Linked DNA regions of Rhinolophus ferrumequinum. The protein of the gene in region 3 interacts with the protein of the main gene of each other region in a pairwise test. Links are inferred from orthologs where the notes say so. Each region holds a gene or a part of one and is shown on either strand. Other genes may lie near its edges. The genes, in order: LATS1, CFAP206, TFIP11 and TRAF3IP3.

Region 1 (7,243 bases), on a different chromosome or scaffold from region 3:
CATATCTTCTGTAAAACTGTCTTAGCTGATTTTAACAATTCTGATACTTGTTCAGTTAGACTGCTGAACTAGTTGGACTTAAACCCGTAAATTATCAGACATGATACTCCTAAGCCATACTTCCCATATTCTTGAGTTAATGCACATGGTTTTGATCCTTTACTATAGGTCCATCTTTCCTGCTCCAAGAAGACAAATTTTATTTTTGTATAGAAAATAATTAGCCATCTCTTTTCAATCTTTTCTGTAAGAGCTAATTATTTTCAAAATTGCTCATCACGCTTTCTGCATTCTCATCCCACTGGTTAGGAGATAGGTTAAATGGACTAAAGTGCTTATGCCTACTCTTAAGAGTCCTCTCAATTACCAGTGATACATGAATCATTGGTATTTGGCTACAGTCACTGAAATATTTATAAACCAACCTAATTTATTGACATTCTGCCCCATTTATCTTGTTCACAAGGCTTACTGTGAGAAAACATCTATGCTGTAGCTATCATCCTATCAAAAAAATTGGCCTAATTTAAAAATTCCTTGTCCTTTGTGAAAATACCATAGTATTATGGAAATAACCTTTTAATAATCCATTCTAGATTCTTGTCCAAGAAGCATACTGAGTTCACCAGTGTACGGTGTTTATCAAGACTTCATTTAAGCTTACAGTATCAATGTCATATGTAGCTCAGACTAATTCGATGAAGCAGTAGCAGTGCTCTTGTTTTCCAGATGTGAAACCCAGGGAGATCTAAACTATGACACGCAACTATTTGAACTATTTCATTGACGTCATTCTTAACTACGATTAATTAAATGGCGGTGTAGAAGAACTAACAGCTACATCTGTGACTAGTCATCCTAGCATCAAAACAATTCCCAACAACGTTTCACTATACTAGAGGTGTACATGGAAGAAAAAAATGAAGGGATGGGCATGGTGAGAAGAGAGAAGTCGAATGACTAAAATCTAGCTGATCACTTAAATGTTTTTAATTAATGAAAAATAAACTAATGTTCAGTTCCAAACTGTCATGAGTGGACTTTGGGGGAAAGTAGCTGACAGACCAGCCTAACAAAGCCATCAGAAATGCATTCACTGTCAAAACAATTTTTGTGCAGGCCATGGCTATATGAAGTTAAACTGTAATACTAGAATATAAGAGACAAGATGGCATAAGTAGGTCAACACCGTGCCTGCTTCCTTCTGTGAACACATTAAAATTACAACTAAATTATAGAACACTCAACCTGCAGAACAATCTGAAGTCTGGCTGAACAGAAGTTTTATAACTAAGGATATAAAGAAGCCCGTGGAAACTGGTAGGAGGGGTGGAGATGTGGAACAGGCCCCACACCTGTATGTAGTGGTTGGGAATCAAAAGGGATATCACAGCTGTGAAGGTTCCCCCTGGAGAAGCAAGAGACCACAGCCCCACGCCGCCCTCCACAGCCCGAGTACTGTTGCCGGGAGGAGGAGCCTCCACAACATCTGGCTGTAGAAAACAATGGGGATTCCGACCATCTGGGTGGGATGTAAGTCTTCAGGAAACCCAGATTTCCTCTTAAATGGCCCTCACACAGACTCACTCACTCATAGGCACTTACCTTGGGCTCCAGAGGAGGGACAATGACTTGGGGGGCATCAGAGCCATACGGGGGGCAGAATGAGGTGTGTGGCCTCAGGGCAAGGGTTGAAGGACAGTCATTTTCCCTGTGAGGAGGCCTCCCGTGCCGCCAGAAGGCGGGTGCCATCTTTCCTGTATTGAGCCTGCCCCCTACAATTACAGCCAAATCTGAATCTGATTGGTCTCGTGAGCTCAGATGTAAAGTACAGCATAGGGAATATAGTCGATAATATGATAATAACTATGTATAGTGCCAGGTGGGTACTAGTCAGGAGGATCACTTCTTAAATTATATGAATGTCTAATCAATACGCTATACACCTGAGTTAATATAATATTGAAGGTGAACTGTAATTGGAAAATTTAAAAGGGGGAACGGTGAAAGGGTATAAGAGGTCCAAATTTCCAGTTATAAAACAAATAAGTCATGGAGATGTAATGTACAGCATAGGGAATATAGTTAATAATATTGTGATAGCGTGGTATGATGTCAGATGGGCTTATAATAGTGATCACTTCTTTAGGTATATAAATGTTGAATAACTATTGTGTACACCTGAAACTCTTATAATATTGTATGTTAGCTGTATTTTTAATACAAATCTTTTAAAAACACTAGTCTGTAAAATAATAGCTGCAACAAATCACAACAGTTTTTACCCCTGGATAGTATGGAATGAACTTAAATTTAAAATCTCTGCCATTCAGGTCCTATAAGCAATGATACACTAGTAACAATGAGCACACCTAGAAACCAGATTTGGTTTCTAATGCCCTTCTCCAGTAAAAGGAACCAGGGCTCCTTAAAGGGGTAGGATATACACAAGATAGCCTGAAGCATCTTGTAGTGCCAGAAAATAAGGAAGTTCTAAAAAAAATAAAAAGCCCACAATAATGGGAATATATCAAAGGGACACAGAAGCCAACCGGAAGAGCTCCCAATAACCAAGGTGGAACAATTTGATCAACAAAATAAATAAAATATCCAAAGTATAAATATCCATGAGTCCACATTGATATAAACGCTTGAATGAATGGGGGCGGAGACAAATCTCAGAATTCCAAATAATTTATGTAGATTCTCTGCCATCAAAGAGGCAGCAGAATACAGCACTCTTCTCCTTCGGTGTGGGCTGCTCATAGTCTAGAGCCTTCCCCTAAGATTGTATGAATTCTTGGGAGGGCTAATGCTGTCAGGGCTACCAATAGTCTCCAGACTTCTTCCGTGTGTGCTGCTCCTCCATTCCTCCATTCATCCGAGCATGAAATTTGGTCCCTACATAATGTTGGTAAAAATACAATGAAACCAAGAAATGCCACTTCCATGAAGCACTGAGGAGCTGAGAAAGCTGAAGCTGGATCAACGGTTTTCCATCACAGCAATACAAAGACCTTCAAATACAATGGCAGATATTGCCATTCTCAGATATCCAGCACCCCTAGTAAGCATTTCCCTGGTCTTTCACCTCCACCTCCACCTCCACCCCCACCTGCAGTCTCAGACCCTTTTCAAATCTTGTAGGTTAGTTCTCTCCTGATCACTCCTCTCCCTTCCCGGCCCTTTTGTCCCCCTACTTCACAGAAGTAAATCTCCTAGTCTTAGAAAGCACAATTCACAGAGCTCCTTGAATTATCTAGGAATTTTCCCGTACATGGTGGCCTGTGGAGCTACTCACCTTTATGCTTAGAGAGAATTGAGAAACTTCAGTGAGGAAGTTCAATGGGTTGGTGATAGAGATGATGACCCTCTGGAGGTAGGATGCTATTCCAGATACATAATCCTGGAAAGGGCAATCAGGACTGTGAATTTATTAGATTCAGATCATTTATATAATTTTGAGGCTGAAAGGGACCCTCGAGGTTACTTAGTTCTCCCATTGAAGCAAGTTATACCTAGGACTTTTAAGTGACCTTGGTTCATATTCTCTATTTCCTACAAACTCTGCTTGTGGAACAGAGTTTCAATCAAGTGCTCTTAGAATGTAATCTTTTTTTATTATTATTAATAGTTTCAGGTGTACAAAACAGTGTAATAGTTAGACATTTATACCCCACAAAGTGATAACCCCCTTCCCTAATCTACTACCCCTCTGACATCGTATATAGCTGTTACAGTTCCACTGACTCTATTCCTTATGCTGTACTCCACATCCTGTGACTATATATACATATATGTATTAAATTATAGTTGAGATTCATTATTATTCAGCTTCAGGTGTACACTGCAGTGGTCAGGCACCTCCACTGTCCATGAAGTGGTCTCCTTAATAAGACAAGTGTCCATCGGATACCCTATAAAATCTTTATGATATTATTAATTATATTCCCCAAACTGTCTTTCATATCCCTGTGGCCACCTTGTGGTTAATGACTGTGCTTTCTAATCCCCTCACCTTCTCCCTCATCCCCACCCCCTACCAGCTAGCAACCCTGTTTTTCCTCTATATCTCTGACACTGTTTCTGTTTGTTTTGTTCATTTATCTATTCTTTAGATTCCACATATAAGTGAGATCATATGGTATTTGTCTGTCTTCGTGTGGCTTATTTCACTTAACATAATGTTCTCTAGGTCCATCCATATCATTGCAAATGGTAATATTTAGAATGTAATCTTTTTAATAGAGGTTTTCATATTTGAACTTCTGGATACAGTAGCCAGTAACTAATTTAACATCAGAAAAAGAAGTCATTAAGTAAAAAAAAAATTAATAGACTCTAGTAGGAAAATAATGAACGGGGGTATTTGGAAATACCAACTGCATACATTTTCAAGAGGCAGAATTGGCCAAGGTGCTCTTTACAAACATCATAAACCCAATGATTCCATCCTAAATTTCCAATTCAATTTAACAAAAAACAAAACCTCTATTTCAGTCACCGTTATTACAGTTATCGCAATAGTGACTTTCTCTTCTACCGATTTGGTTGACAGATAAAAATCTTTAAACTCTGTTACTCTTTCTTGGTTCAAAATTATCTGGCTGACTCAGAAAATACTTAAAGTCACGGATTTACTGGGGGAAAGCGTGCTAAGCAAAAATCAATTTATTTCAAAGCTGCCAGAAATCCTGAACCTTTACGTCCACAGCGAAGTTTCAGAGAGCAAATCATTGCTGTTTCCTTCTGAGAATTAAGCTTCTTTGAGAGGCGCATCTTTATTCCATATCTGTCCATTGAAAGAGCTCACTTGAAAAAAAGACTGAAGTACATGCGTGGGCTTCAGCGGGCGAGAGCTTGGTCCCACGAACCGGGGCGAGTCACCTGGGCAGCGTGAGGCGGGGGCGACGCGGGGAGACGCTGGCGAACTCGCAGAGAGGGCAGCGGGTGGAGGGCAAGAGACCGCAGGCGGCGCTCTCCAGGCGGCCGGGCGGGCAGAAGCCCCCAGTCCTCGGGCCCCCGCGCAAGCGACGCCGGGAAATGCCCACATCCGGGAAACCTGCAGCGGAGTGCGGCGGCAGCGACACCGAGTGGAAGGCAAAATGGCGGCGGCGGCGGCGGCCTAGTGCTAAGGGGAGAGCCAGGTCCCCGCGACCCTCGCGACGGGCTGCGCTGGCCTGTGGCAGCCCCCCGGCCTCTCTCCCCGCCCTGCCCCACCGAGGATACTTGGGGTCCCTGGGAGGGACTCCGGCCGCCTTGGCGCCCGCCCTCCGGCCCGTGGCCGCTGTCCAGGAATCCCGCACTCCGTTGCTGGTAGGTCCGGGGCTAGCGTAACGGGTGGGGCGCATCTCTCCTTCGGAGGCCGAGTTGGCGGGGCGGTGGCCGCCGGGGCCCACGCCCATCCCGGCTGGCTGGGCTCCAGGGGCTGCTGCGACTGGCGGGCCGGCTCGGCCCGGTGCGGGCCTGAGTTGGCTGATTGCATGGACCTGAGAGGAGCCCTGCCCTGGGGAAGCGAGGGTTGGCCGTGCCGGGGGCTGGAGGAATAACCCCAGGCTTTGCGGCCTTGGAGGTGCAGGTTAAGCTGGAAAGAGCCTGCCTTGCTGAAGGCTTTGTGGCGACTGTCTGCCACCTCCATCCCCGTCCGCAGCACGCAGGGATCAACGGTGTTTAGGAAGGAAGGAAAGCGAAAGGTGGTTCTGAAGGAGAATTGCAGTGAAAGAGCTACAGTTCTTTGCAACCAGAGGGACCCGGTCGGTCCTGAATATACCTTGAAGAAATCCTAGGAATTTCTATGTACAGTCCACTGTAATGTTAGGTTACTGTTCATAGTTGGAAGGGGTGGGAGAGAGGGAGGGCTCTTTATGGAGTAGGAAGGAGTGTGTATATAAATACAGAAAATGAAGAAAGGAAAATTAAGGGAACATTATTTATTACAGCTTCAAGAAGAATTTGTATCTTAAAAAATGCCTCTCAGGTGACTTGATTTAACCCCATTCTCTGACTTTTTTAATTGAAAGTTATTTTTTAAAGGAACAAAATTTAATAGTTTGTCAACCCATATGTTAATATGACTTAAAATATATGTCATCACGTAGAAGTTATTCATAAACCTAGTAAGAAATATAGTCGCACACACAAATAATACTGTGCCACTCCAGTTTGGGAAGTGGATTTGAATGTCTGGAATCAGGAAGCTTGTCAGGGCTTTGTGGATTATTTATTGAAGATTTAAAATTTTTTATCAAATTTCCTCCATGAGGAAGAAAAGGTAAGAATATAATTGTTCGTTGTAATTACAATGAGTGTTCTCTGCTAAGATATCTACATTGTGATTTAACTAAGGTTATTTCTTTCCTTTAGTAAGTTGACAGACAGGTAAAATGGGCTAGTTGATTCCCTAAGGCAGTGGAGGAATTTGACTGATTTAACAGTAAAAGAAGTAGCATTGTGTTCCTCTGATCAGCTGCTACTGCAAGAAACTAGATCATGGTACATGCTGGAAAGGTGCAGTCTTTCTATGGCTAAATAGTTATTGAACATGCCATGCCACTCCCTAAAAGCAAATAAAAAATTTCTGCTACATTTTTTTGGGTATGATATCATCTGGATTTACTTCTGTAGTTTGAGTTTTTATTTTTTGGTTTTTGTTTTTAATGCTATTCCTTGATGTTTTATATAAATATGTATAGCCTTGGAACAGTTCCAATTCTGGTTATTTGGTTTTCACTTTAGATGTTAGGTTTAGATTAGTGGGGGATTTTTGTAGACCACAAAAGTTATTTAGTCATTGAGCAACATTTTTGTCACATAGACATGACAGTCATTTTTCAGCATGTAGATAAAATAACACTGATTGTCTTCACTTTTGATGAGTTAATTCTTAGAAAGCGAATTGAAGGATATATCATCATACAGAGATTCTTGATTATTGCTGTCTAAACAACTAAGACTGCTGCTAAGAAAGAAACAGTACATGTTACTGTTGCTATTCTCATAACTGATTTAGTCAGAGCGTTGAGACAGGCCATCTTTTTTATAAACCTAATTCAACCCAAGATAACACTCTGAAATGTGTTTTCCTAGGTTGGACAAGATATCAACAGTATTTCTTTGGATTTACTGACATTTGTTGTCATTTGATGAAAGTCTGAACTTTCAAAGAAATGTAGGTTTTGTCTGTTTAGTCTAACCAATTTCATTGTTCGTTCAAAGAATGAGTGAGTCCTGATCCCTGCTCTTA
Region 2 (7,491 bases), on a different chromosome or scaffold from region 3:
CTTTCTCAAACGCTTAAAAGAGTTTTCTTCAAATTTTAAATACCAATTAGAGCAATAAGACTAAGATGGCTCTGTGACTGAGCTGTGTGGTCTTAGGCTGGTCTCTGATGCTCTCTGAATCTTGAATCTGTATAATAAAATGACAATAGTTCACTCTCTTGTGAGGCTGTTATAAGGAAGAGCCATTTGTTATTATTGGTGTAATAACTGTAAACTCTACTCTTCCAGATGTTAATTATACATCTCTGTTTAATGGAAACTTTCTTAGTAAGGTTGTTATAATATCTAAAGAACTGCTAAATCGCTTTCCTGGATCAAAGCTGGTTTAAAAGCCCCAGTCTATCATAACAACTGGTCTGACAACACCCTAATTCCAGACTAAGCCAACCATCTACTCTTCTCACCTGCTCCTGAGCTATATACTGAACAATTTCTAATGAAAGTCACTTAGCTTGGCAGATTGTTTTTACTTTATATTCATGATTGTAACAGTCAGGTGAGCATTCATACTTCTCAGTTATGAACTGAAAATTTCTATTAAGCATAGTTTTCTGCTCTCCTAGAAGACTATTTCCTATTATTTTCTCTCCAAGATTACCCACAGTTCCACTCCTGAGCATGATGGAATAGCAAGGACTGGACTTAACTGCCTGCCACAAACAACCAGAAAACTGGACAAAATATAGTATAAAACAACTATTTCCAGAAATTGGGAAAATAGCACAGGACTGAGATAAAGGTCAATGACAGAAAAGGTTGATTGCTCCAATTTTCTGCTTGGAGGCAATTTCCAGGTCACAGGAAAGTAAACCCAAATAGAGTTCAGAGACCTAGCCTAGTTGAGGAGACAGAGATCACCATTCCCAGAGGCTGAGGGAGCTGGAATTTGAAGGGCAGAGTTTTGGGAAGCAGAGAGCAATGAAGAAAAAGATTCCCATAAATCTGAGTCTTTGCTAAGTACTTGGCTGTGCATACGTAGACTGAAATTACACACAAACCAGCAAAGAACCAGCAGGGAGTTGTAAGCTAAACAATTCCCAGAACTCACAGAGATGGGCAGACATTCGAGCTCTGAGCAGCCAGAATTGCTTCCACTGGTTTTCCAGTGCAAAGCTCTGAGCAATCATTACTTAGAGTAGGGCCAAATTATCCCTGGAGTGAAGACTACTCTAGACTCATCTTAGTAAAGTTTGAAAACATCCCTCAATGGAATAATTTAAATGCCTGAAAAAAAACAAAATTCAACACTCATTAAAGGGAGACAAAAAATTTATTCACTCAACAAGAATAACATTCACACTGTCCAACATTCAACAAAAAATTGTAAACATGTTAAAATGCTCAATTCATTTGTTCTTAAGACATCAGGGAAAAGAAATATATATTCCCCTCCCTTTAGAAATGTGATAGTCCCTGACATCTTTAAGTTGCTTAGTCATAGAAATTAAGTCTACAACATTCTTGAAGATAATCCTTTAGCTTTTAGATGAAAACATTCAATAAAATGGTGCTTATGTCCTCTAGTATGACTTCTATCACAATTAGTCAGCTCTATTTATTTATTTTATGTTAAGTTAAACCCACTACTGTATGTAGATTTGTAATCTGGTGTTCTGAAGCAATATAAAGTTTGCTTTCTAACAAAACTGAGAGTAATTCTCTCATGCTACCTTTTCTCAAGGTCAGCATACCCAATTCCTTCCCCGCCTTTTTTTTCTGACAAGGTTGTTCTAATCATTCTCTGGAGATACTTTAGTTCCTACATGTTTCTTTTTAAATTTCTGCCATGTTACAACTAGGAAAATTAGTTCTGCAAAGACTGGAAGTTCAATTAAGTCATGTGAATATGAAATATATTTTCATACTTGATTTTGTCAATAATAGTAATAAAGGTAATAATAATATATAAAATTTATCAATCCTTGTAACTATGCCAGACAGTATGCTAAGTGCTTTATAAGTATTACCTCATTTTATTCTTACAACTCTATTAGATGCTTTTATCTCTTTTACAAATGAGAAATTTTGACCATTGAAAGGTTTACAGATGAACTAGAACCATAATAATACTGTATAATAAGCTACCCCAAAACCCCAAAACTTAGTGGTTTAAACAATGTTCATTTATTATCACACATCTAGAGGTTGTCTGGAGTTAGGCTGATGGAGGTCAGGCCCTGTTGGACAGCTCTGCATCTCACTAAAAAGTGGTTCAGGCAATTCTGCTCTATATGACTTTCATTCTTCTCCTGGGACCAAAGACCTAGCCAGGTGTGTTCTTCTCATGCCAATGACACATCCTCAAGAGGGGAAGCACAAATGTGGTGGGGTCGCTTAACACCTTAGCTCTGAACTTGGCATAATGTCATTGGCCAAAGCAAGTTATATAGCTAAACTCAAAGTCAAAGGATGAGGAAGGATACTCAACATAAGTCCATGGCAAGGGAATGCATGCAAGGAGACGGGAAGAATTAGGGCCAATAATTCAGTGTAGTACAAAAGGCTAAATAATATTTCCAAAGTCATACCTATTGTAATTAGCAGTTAGGGATTGAATTTGGCTGAATGTAGCAGAAAACCTAAATAATAATGGCTTAATAAGATAGAGATTTATTTTCTCTGATGTTAGGGGAAATCCGGAAGTAACCAGTCAAGAAGACTGATATGGTTGCTCTGTGATATCATCAGGAACTGAGGCTCCTTTTTAGATATTTGTTCTACCATCGTTATCTTCATGTTCACAATAAGGCTACTGGGACTTCGGCCAGCACATTTTTATTTTAAGTACACAGAAAAGGGAAGGAGATATAAAATGAAAGGGCTCTTTTTCTGACACCCCATCAAGTGATTCCACTTACATCTCATTGGTCGGTACCAGGTCACAGGCCATCCCTAGCTGAAAGAGGGGTTGAGATACATTTTCTTTTTCTTTTTCCCCCAGCAGATAATATTGTCATTCATGACATAATCTGGATTAGTAAGGAAGAAGAGAATTGATTTTAGGTATGAAATTAGTATCAGACACACCCAGGAAGTATTTGTGCCAGGATTTGCCCATTAGTTAAAATTATATTTAACAGGATGGCATTACTCTTACCATCTTAAAAATATTTGATATTCTAATTTATAAGTAATATATACTCATGAAAGAATTTTGCTAGATATTTTAAAGCATAAATAAGAAAACAGCCATGAACTCATTGCCTAGATACAACCATTGTTAAAATTTTGCTATATCACTTTCTTTTTGGTTATTTGGTCTTGTATATTTACATTTTCCAAGTTGGGCTCATTCTCTACGTGTAGCTAGCCCCCTCTCTCCATTATGTTTTCTTTATTTTGTTTTATAGATAAGACAGTATATACTCATTATAGAAAATATCAGAAAAGCATAAAAATTCATAACCACACTCAAATAAGTAATAAACAAATAAACAAAGTAAATAATAACTTACCCTTACTTAGATCCAAACACAACAAATGATATTGATAAATTGACTTATGCACTTTTAATATATATGTGTGTATATGAATATGGTTGAGGTCATACTTCTATAAAATTTGCATTTGGCTTTTTAAAAATACAAGACAAAAATTTAAGATTTTTGTTCACATTATTTGTAATGCCTAATATCTCACTTTAATCAACATTTTTTAAATATCAGATGTGTAGAATTCTAATGTTTTACTATTACGTATCTTGCTACTCTAAAAATCTAATTTTGCACAAGCTTCATCCACATTCCAGGAAAATTTTCTAGAAGGGGAAAATAAATCATTTTATACTATGACTTGCGTATTTTTGTGTAAACTTATTTTCTAGTAATCTGGGAATATCCTGAAGCAAAGTATATTCAGTATATTTTTTTGAAATTTGAGAAAAATTACTGGCAGTGGCCTGTTTAAAAATAAAACTTTGCTTGATGCTCTGCTTCTAATATCAGTTTGATCCTATTATATACTGTCATGTCAGTCGCGGGCCTAACGAACATTAATGCTAAAGTACAAAACCTCAATATGTCAACTCCTGACTAGTATGTGTCATTATTCCTGTGCTCTTGGACCATCCTGTTACGGACTTCCTTTGACAACAGCACAAAAAATTAAACTGCGGTCCTTTTCACTTTTGTTTTTTTAATACTAGATACTTTCATATGAACTCCATTTCTCAACGATACAACCTCTCCGGACTGGCTCCTGCCTCCCCAAGACCCTCCTTTTTTCAAACGCCTGTAGGTTCCCACGCTAGCAAGTTAATACTCTTGTTTAAGAAATCTTGTATTTGTCACTCTTAACCTTGAGGTGTAGTGAACCTGTTCTTCTCTGCCTGGGGTTTAAGCCTTTGTGTTTTTGTTTGGTTTTTAAAGTTCTTCCCGCGCATCCTTCGGGGAGAGACTCACAAGGTTGGCCCCGCCCACACCATGGCCCCACCCCCTTCGGTCTCTAGCGTTCGATCTCTATGGTTACGCGTCCGCCGCGGAGAGCGCCCAGCTGCCCTGAAGGCGGGAGCAAAGACCCCGGAGTAGGTCGGAGAGACACAACTCTTCTTCTCGATTCCGCCAATGTCAGCCCATTCGGGGCTCCACGCCCTTGAACTGGAGGTGTACCCCACGAAAAGGCGAGCGTGGGGCGATCCGGTCTAGCCTGGTCGAGTTTTAACTGTCAGTCAGGACTCCTCCCGCCGCGCGACCGCCGAGCCGGAACACTTGTCACTTGGGTTTGGAGGCGCCCCGCTTCGCAGGTCAGACCTCTAATTCACCTTCCTGACACTGCTCCGCGGCGCTCGCACCCCCACGGGCCAGAATTTCGGAGATTTAGTGCTTCACAGAGTGGGGAAGGGAAGGTACTGAGGGGCGTCAGTAACCACCCAATGCGAGGAGCCTGACAGCGCTCGCGCACGCGCACACAAAGACACGGACATGCGCACAAACGCGCGGCTAACACTACTTGTTACAAGCTGCTATTTTAAGAACTTTCTTTATGCCATGTAGTATTTTAACCACTAAATATAAAACTCAGTCCTCGCAACGACTCAGAGAAGGGGGGTAGTAATCGTATCTGTGTTTTCAGATAAGGAAACCGCCTCACAGAGAAGCGAAGCACATGCCCAAGGTCTCAGCTAGAAAATGGTGGGGTCACAATGGATGACAGGCAGTCTGGTTCTAATGGACAAAATGGCAAGTGCTTACCTTGCCTGAACTCTGTTAATGCTGAGAGTTAGCGTTATCTACGTGGAATTGCCTTTGTTGTTCTCTACACGCTAAGTTCCCCTGTGCTCAGCTACTGATACTCAGGAAAATCAGGCAACTCCATAACCATTAAAACCTACCACCTTATCTTGGTTTATAGTAAATGGAATAACCAGGAGTTCGTTTTTTTTTCCATGACGCATAACTCTCATAGTATGTTTTTCTTTTTGTTTTTACGTTTTTAATGAAGAGCCCAAACTCCAACTTGGATATGCAGGAAAGAGAATTTAGATGATCTGAGCAAGAATTCTTTTCCAAGACTCCTATAGTATGAAAGGTCATTTAGTAAATGTGGAATAGCATTTCCTCTTTCAAGCTGTTCTCTGCCACCTATACAGATGGGATAGAGTTTCTTGTTAATTCTATTACCACACCCCCATACTGTTTAGCCTTTATTTTAATTAAAAAATATCATGATATAATGTACTTTTGGTAATCGCCATTATTTAAATAAAGAGGAAATGTTTCAATCGTTTGAAGTCCCACTTGCTCTCTACCTCAATAAAGCCCTTAATATTGATAAATATAAAACTAACCAATGAAAACATGAGGGGGCGCCTCAATGCTAAGTACTAAAGTTAATAAATAATATTATGACTTTACAAATGAAATAGTGGAGAAATCTAAAGAAGGAAAAATAATATGTAAATACAGTTTGAAAAACACAATCATTGTTTTATTTTGTTAGAATGCCTCCCACTCAGGCAGAAAGTGTTATAAAGAATATCATTCGAGAAATAGGACAAGAATGTGCAGCCCATGGAGAGATTGTTTCTGAAACTCTGGTTGCTTTTATGGTAAGAATGAATATTTTTGTGAATTAGTGCTTTATTAAAATATGTTAAGCAGTGCCCATTTTCCTCTTAAAATTCTTTAATGCTTTCCTAAATGTTATTCAGTTGAAAACATCGATATCTTTGGACCAGTTAGCAAAAAAAAATATTTTTTAAAAGTCTATAAAGCATGTCAGTTCTAGATTTGTAGAGAGTGATTTACAAGATCTTGATGAGTTTTAGAAACATCAGTAATGTCCTGTATTGGAGTTTTTACATCTATTTTTTTTTCACATCTATTTTTACATCTATGTTAAACATCTGTTTTGTTTACTGTTGTAAAAATTACTAATTACATTGGTATCTCGATTTTGGCTTTTGATTTAACAATACACAATAATATTCAAATAGTTTACCAATCTAAAATCTAGCCATTGCTTTTAACATGTTTCTCCATATAATTTTTCTAGCACATATTCAAATTTGATGTTTACTGCTTCCTTTCTTCAACCTCTAATGAAGGTGTTGATGAGCTGGGTAATAAGAAAGTCAGCTGAATCATCAACCCCTGAGTAATCAAGAGACAGTTACTTAAAAAATGAAAACATATTAAACTAATTTCATAATAATATGAAATAAAATTATTTAATGGACTCTTTCCTACTCTCAGGTGAAAGCTGTTGTACTGGATCCAAGTAATGGCTTTAACATGGATAGAACCCTCATAAAAAGTGATGTGCAGAAACTTGTTAAGGTGATTATCCAACAATTCTCAAATTTTGAAACATTTATTTGCAATTCTAAATACAGCATGTATGTTAGCCATTATTCCTTTCAGCTCCATGAAACAAAAACCCACCAAATGGTGGTGCAAACAAATAAGGGATTGATTTTTTTCTCATAAAACAAAGTCCAGAGGTTCATAGGCTGTTTCTCCTGGCTTCCTGGGTCACTGTGGTGCATATGGATTTCATCCTATGGTAGCATGATCGCGTTTCACCTTGAGGCAGGTATGGGGAGGGGGACCAGCTGGGCCTCTCACTTTCTATCCCTCCCATCTGCTTAGGTTTAGTGACCAGAATGATATTGCAAGTAAGCTTGGGACATTGATTTTTTTTTTCTTCTTTTTTAATTGAACACACCTTTGCCCTAATCCAAAATGGGGCTTTGCTAATAAGGAAGAAGGGGTGTGATACTGGCTGGTAGCAGTGTTGGCCACAGTATTTTAGAGACATCTTGTTATTAAACTAATGTACATTGCGAACATTTTTAACTGACTGGTCATATACTCTAAAGTTACATAGTACTACATTAAAATTCATATAATTATTGCTTCAGCGTAATTTCTATTGTTCTATTCTGAAGGAAAAATTGAAGCCGAAGTAAAATAATTCATAGTTAGAAATCAAGTAGATGTGCCTGAAAACCAGTTTGAAGAACTAGAGAAGGCAGGAACTTTCGACATCATT
Region 3 (7,937 bases):
TGCAGCCTTTGGCCTCAGTTTCTTAACCTGTAAAATGGGCTGATGATAACGGGGCCTTTCTCAAACAGAAGGTAAATGAGACCAGGCAAGTGTAGAACCCACAAGGAAGCAGCCAACATATGCTGGCTGCTCTTACTGCCTTGTAATTATGCAGTTCTTGACCCCTGCTCTATTTACCATCCACTTTTAGATTTCCTTGCCAGACGAAAAGAGATTGAACTGTACTCTATTCTCGGGCTCCTTTGTGAAAAAAAGCACAATCTCAGTGGGCTGGAGCCTACAGGCCACGGATGGGGACAGGGAGACAAACCCAAACGTGCTGCACACTCTGGCTGAGCAAGTCGCAGCCCACACATGTACACATGACTTCACATTGAGGAGACTTTCGGCTCAGTCCTCACCTCCCTCCCACCATCCTAGCCCAGGCCTCCGCCACCTCTGCAGGGACTGTTGCCTCGGCCTCCTCACAGAGCTTCCTGTCCACCGCGGCTCCATGCCGAAAGGTCTGCACACCAGCCAAAAGGTCACTAAATGTAACCCTGCCCCATGTCACACCCTCTCTACACAGAGCCACAGGCCTCTTCTCAAGCTGCACTCTGCTCCCCTCCCTCTCTCCGCTCCATTCTGCAAAGTCATTCATATCCTTGTGGGTACCCGGTTGCCGCCCAGCAAGGGCCTTTACATACTCGTGCCTCTAGCACCTTTGTTACCTTCTATTTTTCTATCAGCTCAAGGGTCACTTCGCCAGAGAAGTCTTCCCTGGCCTTCCAGAACAGGTAGAACACCCTAAAACATGCTCTCCCTCAGGTTCTAAATCACAGTTACAAACTTCCATTGTGTGAGCTGTTGAATGCCTGTCTCCATCCACGAGGATCCGGGCTCTGAGCAAGGATAGGCTTATAGCATAAGGCCCTACGCACGTGCTCAATAAACACGACTGACTAAGTCAGTGAAAGAACAGCACTCGAACCTAAAGAGGAAACAGGGCCTCCCTCCTTGAAGTCACAGCTAAGGGACGCAGGACGGCCGGGAGAGAAGTATATTTAGTGGGGTATCTTCCCAACTCCCCCCCCATGAAGCCTACCCCTTCTCTAAAGCAAGGGGCAGCAGCCCCAGGCCAGCCAGTACCGTTTGCCTCCAAAGCTGGGCCTCTCTTCATCCGAGTCTCGCTCTGCCCACACTCCGTAGATGGCCTCTTCCTTGGTCTGCCAGTGGCGCTGCCGGTTGGGGTTGAACTCATTCTGCAGATCCCAATCAGTGATCTCGAAGTTCTCCCGCTCATACTCATCGTCATCCATGTGGCCTTCCCCGTCCCGATACAGGTGGGACAGCGACATGGCCAGTCACTAACGGCAGAGACAAAAAGGGCACAGTCTGTGGTAAGTCCTGAGAGCAGCAAGAGAAGGCTTCTTTCTGAGTTCCTGCGCCTTGCTACCTTTAGAACGTCCTCCAAACTCAGAGTCTGTTAAAATCATTGTTACAATTCAAAAAAGCAGACATTAAAAATGTGTTTTGGAAACCCATCAGTCCTAAAACAGGTGGAACAAAAGATTAGTCCATCCAACAGTCTATGTGATTCTTAAGCATGTATTTCCTTGTCCTACTGTCATAAAACTTCTCTCATACACACTCACACAAACCAAACAAAAATAATTAAGTTATTCTATATATTATTGCCGTAGAAATTGTGCAGACTTCATCCCAGATCCGCATTTTACTTTTTTTTCCTATTGTTGAGAAAAGAGTTATATCTGGACCTTTGGCAGTCCCAGGAAGGGATTTCTTTAAAATACGCTTTGAAACACATTACTTGATGAGACTCCAACACTTAGTTTTCCTCCCAAACATGAATATCTGATGAGCTGGAGGGCAGTCGTGATTAAGAACTACCTAACAGTTCAACATCTATTGACTGGAACAGAAAATTCGGTTCTTGGTAGCTGAGTGATGAGATTCTGCTCTTAAATGCATTAACTACCGTGCCAACCTTAGAGAACGCTTGCCAGGCAGAGTCAATGAGACGATACAGTAACTCAGAATCTAAGTGTTCAAGGAACAATAGCTGTTACTGTAGCCCACGATTCCGTTCATCAACATCACTACCATTGGACTAGGAAGTGAACCTAGCAAAGTGATTGTGAAATCAGGTGCTAAAATCCCAGCCTAAGTTCAAATCCCCCCTCTACCAGGTACTCGGTGTATCAGAATTACAGGCACATGAAGTTTGAAACATGGTGCACTACACAGTAATACATTCAATATATGATAGCATCTGTGATTCTTCTCTACCAGTTGCTGCAAGGAAACTTCAGGGTCAGGGAATTCACTACTTCTACAGGCAGTGTCAAACTCTGCTCAGCTTTGTTAGTTTTCCCTGCTGCTTCTACTCACTGGGGCACCGGTTCGGTGCTAGTGGACCCAACACATCCAGGAGTGCAAAGGAGGGAAACTGCTGAGTGCCCGAGTCAAGAATACCACGGTCTCCCTGAGCACAGGGCATGGTAATAATCACAGAGTTGTCGCGAATTAAAGAGCCCTCAGCTGGTGCTAAGTACCTGCCGGGCATTTAAAGCCAACAATCTAATGCAAGCATGAAGACACTTCTACGAGGTTGGTACTATTAGCGTCTCCATGCTTCAGATAAGAAAAATCAGAAATTAAACAACTTGCCCTAAGTTCCCCAGCTGGCACGGCTCGACATCAGGTGGGCCTGCAGCCCGCGGCCAGGCTTCGCGGTGGAGGTGGGTTCCCCACGCACTCCAGGCCGCGACTCCCGGTAACCCCGAGCGGGCCCGCCCCTCTCCCGGCCGCGGCAGAGCTGTTTGCGAAACGGCAGCCACCCCCGCGAGGCCGAGGCGTGCGTCGCCCAGCCTCACACCCACTCCCCCTGCTGCGGAGCTCCCCCGTCCCCTGCCACTCCCCGGCGGACTCACCTAGCCGGAGCCCAGGGTCCCAAAGACCGGGTCGGGACGCGCGACGCTCAGACAGTGCGAACCCGGATGTGCCGGATCCGGCGCGCCGGAAATGACGTTGTCCGACAGCGGAAATGGTGCGCTGGTTGCCATGGCAGCAGCGGAAGGCTTCTGCGGCTTTGGTGCTAAAGCAACCGGGCTGAGATGCTAGAAAGGAGACGCGGGTATTCGGGGCCCCAAATGGCGAGGGGATGATATCCCGGCTCTGTCAGCCTCCCTGCCGTGCCCGCTTCGGGGTGACGCCCAGCCGGTAATGACTAGTGTGGACGTCGCCAAGCCTCCTTGGCGGGCTCCTTTGCCAGCCGGAAATTCTAATTCTGTAAAATGGGGATATAGGACTAGCTCATAGGATAGCTGTGAGGGATCCTATGAGACATTAAGGGGCGGGGACACGGCATTCATACGGGAATAATGAAGGTCAAGACCGTATCCTGTGTCTTTGGAGTCTCAGTATGAGCATCCTGTGGACACAGAGCATTGCCTTTTATCTCGGAGTTTGAGGGAGTGAAGGACTGAATGGGTAAACTCTAGAGGTCCCAAGTATTCCCTCCAGGAAATCTTTCCATTCTCTTTCCAACAGGTTGGTAAATCCATTCATTCATTCGCTGATGTAATAAAAATACATTGAGTGCCTACATTATGTTAAGTTCAGAGGATACAATGAACAAGACAAGCGCCGGCCAGTCCCAGGGAATCCCTCACCAGCTCAGGACTCTGTGTGCGCACACGGGCCCTGGAGTTCTAGCTCAGCTCTGCCACTTTCCATCTGTGGACCTTGGGCAAGTCATTACATCTAAGCCTCAGTTTTCCGCAAAATGGTTGAAGATCCAATGGATAAAAAAGATAAGCAATTAAAACTATACTCGGTACACAGTAGGTGCTTAGGAAGCGTTAGCTGTTAGTGTTTGCTTGTGTTCTCTCTCCTCCCTACGATGGAAAGATCCAAGAGGCAGTTATTGGAGTGAACAAAGAGCACTGGACTGAGAGTCAAAAGACTTGGGTCTAACCTCCCAGGGTTGTAATTAAGTAAATGAGAACCTACATGAAGTAAATTAAATGCCAGCTTTTTGGGAATGGGGACTGTGATGTAATGGTCTCTGTAGCCTCAGTGACATGTTGCGTGATTGTGCCTGACACGAAGTATGTACTCAAGAAAGAAACTGGACAGTGTGGTTTTAGTAGAGGAGAAGGCCAGAGGGAGAGCGTCTAACAGACTAAAGTTCCACTGAGGAGCAGAGTGATGGAAACATGGAGATGAGATAAACCATTTTGAGTCGGGGCCTGAAAATGTGTATGCATCTGTTTATAGCCCAAAGCCAAAAATATAAGTAAGCTCAGCTTGGCTTCTCTGTAGCTATGTCTATAGCTTTACAGCCAACTTTCTGGAGCTGCAGTTACTTTGATCATGAGGGACTGATGGATTTGCTTCACCGAATAGACCCCACCATGTGGCCTCTGGAGAAGAGACCTTAATGGACCGTTGTGGGGTCGTTAAGAATGCAGGCTCTGAGGAAGTGGTCAGAGTGTGCTTCCTTAAGAATGGGACCAATCGAAATCACTTACCACTTGATAAGATGCCCCGAGAAGATCGCAGCATTGCTCCTGTGATATTCCTGCCAAAGATGCATACTCTAAACCAAATCACGAGGCTAGATCAGGCAAACCCAAATAAGGGACATTCTACAAAACAATCGGCCTGTAATCTTCAAAAGTGCCAAGGTCGTGAAAGTCAAAGAAAGACCCTGTCACCGTTCCAGACTGAAGGAGTCTAAAGAGACATGGCAATTAAATGCAATCCCATGAACTGGATCTTTTTGCTATAAAGGAAGTTATTGGCATAACTGATAAAATTTAAATGGGATCTGAGGTTTCCATGGTCATGATGTGCCCGTTAATTTCCTGATTTTGATGGTTGTCCTGTGATTACACTGGAGAATGTCTTTGTTTGTTGGAAATACTAAAGTATTTGGGGGCAATAGGAAACTTAACCTCAAATGATTAAGAGAAAAAAATGTTTTCTCTATGTACTTAGAATTTTTTTTAAAATGAAGATTCTGGAGTAAAACTTCAAGGATCCCAATCTCCTTTTGCTGCTTCCTAGTTTTGAGAGCTGGAGCAGGTTGCTTCACCTCTCTGCACCTCAGTTTTCCTATCTGTAAAATGGGGATAATGACAGTATGGCTCTAAAAGAGTGGTTTTCAGGACAAAAAAAAGAGTGGGGGAGTGTGCTAATTAAAATATGTAAATCTGGTGTAGTAAAAGCTTCGTACATGGTTGGGGCTATTTTCATTCAAAAGACCCAATCTCATACCTTTGTGAGGAAGGTTTCTCAGCCTCAAAGGTCAGTGGTTTTTCAGAATTTCTGGGTTCAAATGCACAGACTCAGGGAAAGCAAGGAGAGAGGCAGCCAGAGGTTTAGATTCAGGATCTCATATCTATCCTGGTCTCCTGTTACTGTCCAGAAAAACCCTTGCTTTGGGACTCAGGGACATCCAGGCCCGAGTGTAGATTCCCAATGAGGTATTGAGACATGTGGCCTTCCCAGAAGGGGTTGCTAGGCAACAAGGATCATTAGCAGGAGCCTGGCAGGACCCTTGGACACTCATGAGTCCTTCCCTCTCTTTTCACAGCTGAGGTGATGGAGGAGGCCACGCCACGAGGAATGTGCCCAGGGCCACACAGCGAGTTGAAGGACAGAGCCAGGCCTGCAACCCAGGAGTTCAGACTTCTAGGCCAGAGCTTTCCCTGCTATACCATGCATGGGGCCCCCATGCTATCACTTCCTATTTATTTGAGTTAATACCTCTAGAATGATTCCTGTCTGTTCAAGTCACAAAAACAAAGCCTCTGCATATGTCACCTCTTAGGTTCCTGAACCTTCCAAGGTAGTTTCTATTATCACCTGAGTCTACACTCTTAATCACGCCTTTATACAGCCTGTCACATACAGCACAGTTCCCATACTGCCTTCAAAAGATTTGGGGGAGGAAATCCTTGCTCAGTTACCACTTTAAATAGTTTGATACCATAGAAACAATCTGTAAGTGGCATTTCAAAGCTGATATATTTAAAGTCTAGCACAAGTACCTTTTCTAGGACAGTGACATTATACAGTTGCACATGGCTTATTCTTATTTTGAATCTTGTCACAAAAATATATTTCGTGTCCTGAATTGAAAATCCAGATCTGCCGAGATTAGCAAATTTGGTTTCCCTTCACTGTTTCTTACAGATGGTTTCTACTCTTTCAAAAACTTACGAACACTCTATCCCTATGTGGAAAGCTGGGACATGAGGTTCTGCAGGCCTAAGGCATTATTTGTAAAGCAAGCATCCTCAAAAGCACACAGGTTGAGATGAGGAGCCACAGCCTTCTTCATTCATTCATTCATTCATTCATTCACTGAGGCACTCATTAACAAATATTTAATGAATTCCTATGTATCATCTACTGCGATGTAACAATTGCCTTCAAACTGAGCAGCTGGGAACAACAGTGAACATTACCTCACGATTTCTTTGGGTAGAAATTCAAAAGCGGCTCCGCTGGCTCATTGTGACTTGACTTCTTCCTTGGGGTTGCATTCACGATGTCAGCTGGGGCTGCAGTCCTCTGCCAGCCTGACTGGAGCTGGAGGATCGACTTCCAAGGTGATCCACATACATGGCTGCAGGCTGGTGCTGGTTGTGGGCCAGAGGCCTCAGTTCCTTGCCATGTAAACCTCCACACAGGGCTGCTGAGTATCCCCATGACATAACGACCGGTCTCCCTGAGAGTGAGTTGAATCCAGAGAGAACAAGGCCGAAGACATGACCTTTTTTTATGATCTAGTCTTCAAAGTCACACACTGTCATTTCCCTAATACCTGGCGTGCTGCATGATGAGTCCTATTTGATAGGGTTGCCCGATTTAGTAAATCAAAATACAGGATGCCATGTTCAATTTGAATTGCAGATAAGCAGTGAATAAGATTTTAGTGTATGTCCCATGAAGTATTGTAAAATACGAAAAAATGATTCATCGTTTGATCTGAAATTCAAGTTTAACCATCCATGTTGTATTAACCTGGAACTCTATTCAGCGTGGGAAGGGACAACATTCAAAAGGGGTGTGCATACCAGGAGGAAAGGACCACTGGGAGCCACCTTGGGAGCTGACTCCCACGCCCGCCATATGCTAGGCACGATATGGGCATAAATGGTGAGCGATGAAAAATAATGGTTCCCAAACTCATAGTGTATAGTCTAATAAGACCAACTTGAATCAAGTTACCAGGCAAATAAATGGAAAACCTTGAGTATGATAAAGTGCTTCAAAAAGAAGTAGCTGGAGCTTGGGTCAGGGATGGGGTCCTTTTCAGAACAGCCATTTTTGTTTTATATTAATAGATTGAGCTTTTACATGTGACTGGGTTTTTGTGTGCATTGGGGGCAATATATGGAAGATTCTGCCCCTGAAAGAAGGAAAAAAAATCCTGAAAATACACACACACAAATACCATTTCCCCCCAAATAAGACCTAGCCGGACAATCAGCTCTAATGAATCTTTTGGAGCAAAAGTTAATATAAGACCTGGTATCATATTATATTAGACTGGGTCTTATATTAATTTTTGCTCCAAAAGACGGATTAGAGCTGATAGTCCAGCTAGGTCTTATTTTCAGGGAAACACAGTAAATACAAGCAAAAAATGGTGAAAACTGAATACGGTCTGTGGTCTGTAGTCCACAGCATTGTACTGTGTTTCCTGGTTTTGGTACGGACTACAGTTTTATCAGATGTTGGCCCTGGGGAAACTGCAAGAAGGAACTTTGTATTACTTTTGCAACGTCATATCTACAATTATTTCAAAATAAAAAAAATTAACCAACAGCCCATTTAAAAAACCAGCAACAACAGAAACAAACAAGTTTAGGTTAGAATGACCCAGACTTGTGGAAGGACTTACGATGGAGTCGGGGCCA
Region 4 (7,638 bases), on a different chromosome or scaffold from region 3:
CTGAGTGTTCCATTTTTTTGGAATCACCTCCATGTCAAAGCTAAGTATGGTGCCAATTCTGCTTTCCTTAGCCCACACACAGACTGTGCCATCAAAACCAGCAATCACACAAGTATACCTGGATAAGGCTATTGCGAACAAAAATGAAACAAAAACAAACAGAAACAGTAACCAAAAGTCCCTAGGCCTTCATGTAGAAGCCACACTTTGTGGCCCCTTTACATGACCTTACCTGCTACTCACATACCCCCAAATCCTTCTTCTTTCTCTGTGCCATTCTCTCTCTCTCCCTCACCTACCTTCTGCAAATTTGTTTATTCTCCTAAACCCTCTGATAGCTTGGCTGAGCTGGATCCTGAGCACTGGGAATTCTGTGCCCTGTCTCCACTCATCACTGGAGTGACTGGGCAGGAAGGGGGACTCCCCCTTACAGCTTCCGCTTCTCCTCTGGGTCCCACAACCTGACTACCCACTACCCTGGGAAACTTAGTTCCTGGGTGCGTCAGAGAAGGGTACCCCAGTGTCACCAGGAGCAGGCCTTAGCCAGCTGTGGCCCCTTGGGTTTATTTATAGGTAAGCAGACTCAACAGGCAGCCTCTGCCCCTTCATGGGCCTTCGCTGCCGGCTGGCTCCGTCCGGGCTTCTCTGCAGGACTCTTGCTCTCTCTGATCACACCACTCATTCCCCAGGGTCCTGGGCAGGGACGTCTCATTCCTGGAGAGTGGTCAAGCCCTGCACGCTCTCACCTGCCTGACTCGAGGCTTGGAGGGGCGTATTCTGGTCTTGGGCCGGGCTGACCTTGACCAAGCAGAGCTGTAAGGTGGTCAGTGCTTGTCCTGTGGTCCCATCCATGGATGGCTCTCCCTTCTTTCTAGGCTTTTTGCTCACTCTGTAGGGGTCCCCTGACTTCCCACCTGCCACTTTCTTTATTTAAAAACCTAGATAAGGATCTGAGGGGCCCTTTCATATTAAGTTATAAATGACTGGATGGCAGAGACTGGGATTATGTGCAAGTGAATTCCATGTCCAGAGTCTACACCATGGCATCCTGTGCCAGAGCCCTGGCTATTCTGCCATGGATGGGGAGGTGGGGGAGCCCTGGCTCTGGGCTCAAACCGTGTGACTTCATGTCCTGGCTCTGTCACCTACTCCCTATGTGCTAAGCCTCAGTGTTCTCATTTATAAAATGAGAATCTACCTCATGAGGTTATGAGGATTACAGAGAAAATGCACACCAAGTATCTGGCACAGCACACAATACATGTTAGCCTTCTGCAATGATAATAAAGGTAAGCTATGATTGTGACTAGCCCTGTCCTGCTGATCGCGGATCCTGAAGACTCAGTGCTATGAGACAAAGGCCCCAAAGTAACCTCGCACTCCTAGGACTGAGAATGCCCCATCCTCTAATCCCCCATCCCTTTTCTCTTTGAAGGGGTACTGTTTACCACAGGAGAAAATGCTGGCCCCGGGATGGAATCGTATTTACTACTCTGGTTCACCTGACCTCTGGGTTTGGGCCACAAGAGAAAAGACTTCTCTGCTTCTGGACACAACCAACTTCTCCATTAGGCCTGGTAGAAAGGCAGAGAAGAGATGGGTGCCCAGCCTGCCTGCATCCGCCATTAAATGTGGGGTGCCCACCCTGCTTGGCTCCAGGTAATCAGCAGGCTTTGTAGAGGAGGCAGATCCCTGCTTCTGGAGAATCCTCCTACCGTCCTACTGTGTAGAGGGAAGGGCCATGGGGAGGAGATAGAGAGGTCTGTGCACCTTACCAGGCTGTCTGTACTGGTCTGCTGAAACACACGCTGCCCTGCTCTGCTTCCTGAGAGGCAGATGTTGGGGCTTCTTACCCAAGTAGGGCGTTGCAGTCGAAATGGTTCCTTAGAGAAGGGAGCATTCCTCCCCCACCCAGGGCCTCACCCTGGTCAATTTGGTGTGGACAGCTGAGGGGACTCATACCCAGCCTTCTGGGACATCTGGACTATTCTGTTCTGATTTGCTTAAACATAAGAGGCCATGGAGGACAGCTGACGGACAGGGAGGGGCTAAAGAAGAAAAAGGAACTGGTCCCTCTCTGATTCACCGAAAGGTCACTGGGCCACTGCCCGGGCTTTCTGGCATCTGTGGGGTGCCCCTTGGCAGCCTGACAGGGCCCAGTTGGAGCTCGGGGGAGATGAGGCACTGGCTGTGGGAAGCTCTCCTCACTGCCAGAGGGAGATATCAGCGCACTGCCCTTCACCTGACAGTGGTTCGTTGCTGCCTCTCCAAGTCTCTGCTCCTCCTTCCTGGCTCTGTGTGCAGTGAATGGCTTCCTGCATGGACTAGGCCTTCCTAGTCCAGAGCTCTCAGTGTGAGCTTAGAAAGGTGTACACCTCAGGGGCTGGAAAGGCAGCTTCTTGTTTTGGGGATCCCTGCTTTGAAGGGAAATGGAAAAGGTCATTAAATGAAGCCCCTGTCACTGGGTAGCCTGAAACCTGTCATCTGATTCACTCTAATTTAATCTAACAGGTGGAGCAGAGGAGCAGTGGAAGCTCTACCGCTGTGCTGTGGCCAGTGGCTCTGGAAACCAACACAGGATGCTTTCTTGGTTATCGAACACCCAACACGCTTAAACTACACCATCCTCTCTTGTGTCTTCCCCTTCAGCCCAAGGAAGCTTGGATGACAGACAGTCTTCTGTCCCACCCCAGAGTCAGAGGCCCCCAACTTGGACAAAAAACATCTTCCTTCTCCGTTACCTCAGGTCTCGGGCTCCAACCCAAGCAGCTCAGGAAAGCCTTCCAGCTCCTGGGAAAATCTTGGTTCTGGTCTCAGATGGGGCAAGACAGTAGCTGAGTAAAGTGCAAGCTCTCAGTCCATGGCTTTGTGCCCCCTTAGCATTTCCCTTCTCGGTACTGTGTTTCTTTTCACACAGAAGCTTTGCTGAAACAGGAAGCAGACAAAGCCACAATGCTTGCTCACCCCAGTTCCTCTCTCTTGCTCTCTGGCACAATCTGAGTGGGCCCCTGAACCTTTGAGGCCCCCAGGGCTGGGCTCGGGAACTCCTCCCATCAGCAGGCACCCTGGGCACACTTCTCTTACTATTGTATTGGTCTGAACTTTCGGACAGTTTCTTTTCTTTTATTGAGCTCTTAGACAATTTCGAGTCAAGATCCCTTTTCAGGAGTAGACAAGGATGGGTCTCTACGTCAGATTCAAACTTTGCAGTTTCTATGAGGTGGAAAAATGCCTTTTTGACCTAAAAACGATGTTCCTAGTGTAATTCTTTCATGTATATCAGGTAGCTCTCTGTGTAAGGATTTTCTCTTTAGTTACCTCTTCCCAGTCCTGGTGTTGTAAAGAGTCTCTGCTCTTCTGAAGTACCTGGTGTCTTTTTTTAAAATTCTGGAATGAGGTCAACTCTGAATTTGTTCTTTTCTGAAGTGGCGGGGTGGGGGTGTGTTTGAAAAGGTGGTAGATCTGTGGCTGGGGGATGAAGGGAGCAATAGTAGGCAGAATCTTATAAAAATTCCCTAGTCAATTGGACTGGGAAATTTAGGGGAAAAACTAAATGGAACTGATCTGTGTCCGTTAGAAAGCAACTATTATAAATAATATAGTCAGGACATTTCCCAGAAGTTCAAGGATAAGATGGTGGAAAGGGAACTGGATTGGGACAAGTTACCTGAATCACTCTGTGACCTTGTACAAATCACCTTGTCTGAATGGTCCACTCAGTATGGTGGTTGCATGATTTATATGGTACCTGTGAGTTCTAAGGCTTGACACATGTGAGGCTCATAATAAGATGTTTAAATAGCTATGATAACACTTATTAACATGGGGATTATGTCAATGTCTTCTCCATTGCCTACTATTTGCCCCATTCTCTGAGGAGGAAAAGGACAAGGAGTAGGCAGGCAGAAGTGCAGAGGATGGATTTTTAAGCACTAGAGACAGTAGCCCAAGGTCCTGTCTCTGGGGCTTAAAATATGGAGATGGGAGTGAGTAAAGGACAGAGGGGCTGGGGAGCCCAAGCTGGCAGAATAAGAAAATTTTATTGTGATAGAAGAATGAGACGTTTTGGGAGTTTTGGGTAATGGAGCATAGGAGAGGACTGGAGATTGTAACAGAAATTCCTGTGGACCAATTATGTGGGCTCCATTAAAAATAGAAAAGAAATGTATGTGAAAATCAAAATCCATTTTAGGACTATGCACTACACCCACATTTACTGGGGTTCAGAGAGGTTAGCAGTATGTTCAAGTTCATGCAGTTTTGCTTGACATCAAAGCCTGAGCTAAGGTTGTATACTTATCTATCAACATGGAGGGAAAGAAAGAGAAACACACACACATGGGGGCAGAGAGAGAGAGAGACAGAGAGAGAGAAAGCGCCCTGGAAATAGAGAATATACCTTATTTTCAAATGCCTATGAAGCATCAAGAAAATTGATCATATGTAGACCAATGGAATAGAATTGAGAACCCAGAAATAAAACCACATAAATATGGACAGATAATTTTTGACAAAGAAGCAAAAAACATACAATGGAGAAAAGACAGCCTCTTCAATAAATGGTGCTGGCAGAATTGGATAGCCACGTGCAAAAGAATGAAACTGGACTGTTATCTGTCACCATGTACCAAAATTAATTCAAAATGGATAAAAGACTTAAGCATAGACCTGAAACAACAAACTGCATAGAAGAAAACATAGGTACTAAACTTATGGGCCTTGGGTTCAAAGAGCGTTTTATGAATTTGACTCCAAAGACAAGGGAAATAAAACCTAAAATAAATGAATGGGACTATTATCAAATTTAAAAGCTTCTGCACAGCAAAAGAAACCATCGACAAAATAAAGAGGCAACCAACTGAATGGGAGAAGATTTTTGCAAACAGTGCCTCTGATAAGGGGCTAATATCCAAAATATACAAGGAACTCATGCAACTCAACAACAAAAAAAACACAAACAACCCAATTGAAAAATGGGCAGAGGACCTGAAGAGACATTTCTCCAAAGAGGACATACAAATGGCAAATAGACATGAAAAAATGCTCCACATCACTAATCAACAGAGAAATGCAAATAAAAACCACAATGAGATATCACCTCACCCCCGTTAGAATGGCTATCATCAACTGGACAAATAGTAACAAGAGTTGGAGAGGCTGTGGAGAAAAAGGAACCCTCACACACTGTTGGTGGGAATGCAGACTGGTGCAGCCGCTATGGAAGGCGGTGTGGAGGTTCCTCAAAAAATTATGAATAGAATTACCTTATGACCCAGCAATCCCTTTCCTGGGTATCTACCCAAAAACTCTGAAAACATTTATCCATAAAGACACGTGTGCTCCAATGTTCATTGCAGCTTTATTTACAGTGGCCAAGACATGGAAACAATTAAAATGTCCTTCGATACATGAATGGATAAAGAAGTTGTGGTATATATACGCAATGCAATACTATTCGGCAGTAAGAAAAGATGAAAGAGGACCATTTGTGACAACATGGATGGATCTTGAGATTATAATGCTAAGTGAAATAAGTCAGACGGAAAAAGCAGAGAACCATATGATTTCACTGATATGTGGTATATAAACCAAAAACTACTAAAGGACAAGACAAACAAATGAGAAACAAAAACTCATAGACACAGACAATAGTTTAGTGGTTACCAGAGGGTAAGGGGGGACGGGGGTGGGAGATGAGGTTAAAGGGGATCAAATATATGGTGATGGAAGGAGAACTGACTCTGGGTGATGAACACACAATGGGATTTATAGATGATGTAATACAGAATTGTACACCTGAAATCTATGTAACTTTACTAACAATTGTCACCCCAATAAACTTTAATTTAAAAAAAAAAAGAAAATTGATCATATTGATCATAAAGCAAACCTCAGAATATTAAAAAGAAGTTGCTCTCTTATGGTATAATTCTCTGACCACAGTACAACACAATTAGAAATAAATAACAAAAATGGGAATAAATAAACCCTTCAACTTCTTGGAGAAAAATTCTCCTGGTTCACTCTTAAAATACAGAGGAAACTAAATCTGAAATTTAGAGTGCCTTGAAAATAACGCTAAAGAGAACAGTAAGGACAAAATCTATGAAGTGTGGCCAAGGCAGGGCCCAAGGAAAATTCATAGCCTTAAATATTTTCATTACTAAATAAGGATTAAAAATAAATTAGCTATTTATTTTCAAACAAATTTCTAAGAAATGGTCAGAAAAATCAAGGAAAGGAAGTAAGAATAAAAAGAAGGCAAAAGGAGAAAACAATATAAGTTACAAGTCAGAGCAGAATTGGTGAATAAATTCAGGAGCTGGTTCTTGTTTGTGCATGTGCAGAGAGGTAGAAATACCAATAGAACACAAAATTAATAAACTACCAGGTAGCTAAAGCAATTAAAAAACAGAAAGCACTTCTGTAAAAATTTATTAATGAGATGTGGAAAATACATGTTTCATACATAATACATTGGAAATGTAAATAACTTTAGAGACATTTGCGTAACTATGCTAGTGGTTTGAAAATCTGGATAAAAAGGATTTAAGAAAACTCTCATTTATCAAATTACCATATCATTTTTGATACGATCAAAATCATTTATCATATCTCTAAATTGCATGTAGAGATATGCAATTTAATCATCAACCTGCCTCTACCTAAGAGTCCCCTTCCTATGGTATGGGTCAGTACAGAGGAGGGTTTAGATTAGTCTTGAGCTGGTCACCTGGCACTTACTGGCCAGAATTCTGTGCTTCTCCTCACCATTTCCAGTCTTTTTGTTGGTGGTCATATCCTGGAAATTCATGACATGGTTTCCTTGATAGGTGTTGGGCCCTCTATGGGTTCCTATGAAGGGGTAAATATAGGGTAAGCGACAATTTGCTTTGTAACCCTGTTGCTTTACTCTTCACAGTATCACACAAGCATGGATGGGATGATCAGATTTTATTGTAGGGTTGAGGTAACTAGAGGGAATCCTAAATATGAAAGGCAAAATTTAAAACTGTATGCTAATATGTCTCCTGCTATAACATAAGACACAGCACTAAGAATTTGAACCCTTTATGGGTGCTACTAGTATTAATTTTATTCCTCTTCCTACCTAACGGGATGACTCCTTATCCATCTTATGGGAAATGGCAACCTTGCCCATAAGAGTTGTTCTTGCCTTAGACTCCTCCCTTATACTCCCTGCACAGTTGTCTCATCAATGCACTCCTCAAGTCTAATTATTCATTCTAGAACGCCACAGACACTCTTAACAGGATGCCCATGGAGGCCTGTTGGCACCCTAAGATTTGAAGAGGTAGAAGGGGTGGGTGGTGAGGGGAAATTGCAGAGTGGCTCAGGGTAGGCACACTTAAATCTGTTCCTTTTCAAGGCTTCCCCCAACGAGTGACTTGCAAACTCTCCTTGTTAGTCTTCTAAGTGTCTAGCTTGTAACTATTTAGTCAGGTGTCCACACAAACACCCCAAGCACAAGTATTCATTCTCAGGGGTGCTACAGTCAATTAATAAGGTTGTCATACTTATCCATCCACGGGGAAGGAGGAAGATAAGTATTTCCTTCTCTCCTACATTTGCAAGTTTGCCTCTCTGGAGGACCTTTTAGTATAATAAAACTTCCAC

Evidence for each region.
Region 1: the proteins of TFIP11 (region 3) and LATS1 interact in a two-hybrid assay, tested with the Homo sapiens proteins (2 studies listed by BioGRID and IntAct). The two-hybrid records come from large-scale screens. The link is inferred for Rhinolophus ferrumequinum from reciprocal best matches to the Homo sapiens genes TFIP11 and LATS1.
Region 2: the proteins of TFIP11 (region 3) and CFAP206 interact in binary tests that used the Homo sapiens proteins (3 or more experiments, as listed by UniProt). The two-hybrid records come from large-scale screens. The link is inferred for Rhinolophus ferrumequinum from reciprocal best matches to the Homo sapiens genes TFIP11 and CFAP206.
Region 4: the proteins of TFIP11 (region 3) and TRAF3IP3 interact in binary tests that used the Homo sapiens proteins (3 or more experiments, as listed by UniProt). The two-hybrid records come from large-scale screens. The link is inferred for Rhinolophus ferrumequinum from reciprocal best matches to the Homo sapiens genes TFIP11 and TRAF3IP3.

The regions. Positions count from the first base shown.
Region 1 is NC_046286.1:93,093,517-93,100,759, reverse strand, and holds the start of LATS1 (serine/threonine-protein kinase LATS1), read left to right. Parts: upstream 1-4,231; 5' UTR 4,232-5,316; intron 5,317-7,243. UniProt on the Homo sapiens protein: Negative regulator of YAP1 in the Hippo signaling pathway that plays a pivotal role in organ size control and tumor suppression by restricting proliferation and promoting apoptosis.
Region 2 is NC_046286.1:44,652,061-44,659,551, forward strand, and holds the start of CFAP206 (cilia- and flagella-associated protein 206), read left to right. Parts: upstream 1-4,482; 5' UTR 4,483-4,741; intron 4,742-5,937; 5' UTR 5,938-5,938; coding exon 5,939-6,046; intron 6,047-6,692; coding exon 6,693-6,776; intron 6,777-7,491. UniProt on the Homo sapiens protein: Essential for sperm motility and is involved in the regulation of the beating frequency of motile cilia on the epithelial cells of the respiratory tract. Required for the establishment of radial spokes in sperm flagella.
Region 3 is NC_046308.1:16,470,167-16,478,103, forward strand, and holds the start of TFIP11 (tuftelin-interacting protein 11), read right to left. Parts: upstream 3,019-7,937; 5' UTR 2,934-3,018; intron 1,347-2,933; 5' UTR 1,338-1,346; coding exon 1,129-1,337; intron 1-1,128. UniProt on the Homo sapiens protein: Involved in pre-mRNA splicing, specifically in spliceosome disassembly during late-stage splicing events. Intron turnover seems to proceed through reactions in two lariat-intron associated complexes termed Intron Large (IL) and Intron Small (IS).
Region 4 is NC_046305.1:21,819,884-21,827,521, forward strand, and holds the start of TRAF3IP3 (TRAF3-interacting JNK-activating modulator), read right to left. Parts: upstream 3,006-7,638; 5' UTR 2,742-3,005; intron 2,418-2,741; 5' UTR 2,322-2,417; coding exon 2,243-2,321; intron 1-2,242. UniProt on the Homo sapiens protein: Adapter protein that plays essential roles in both innate and adaptive immunity. Plays a crucial role in the regulation of thymocyte development.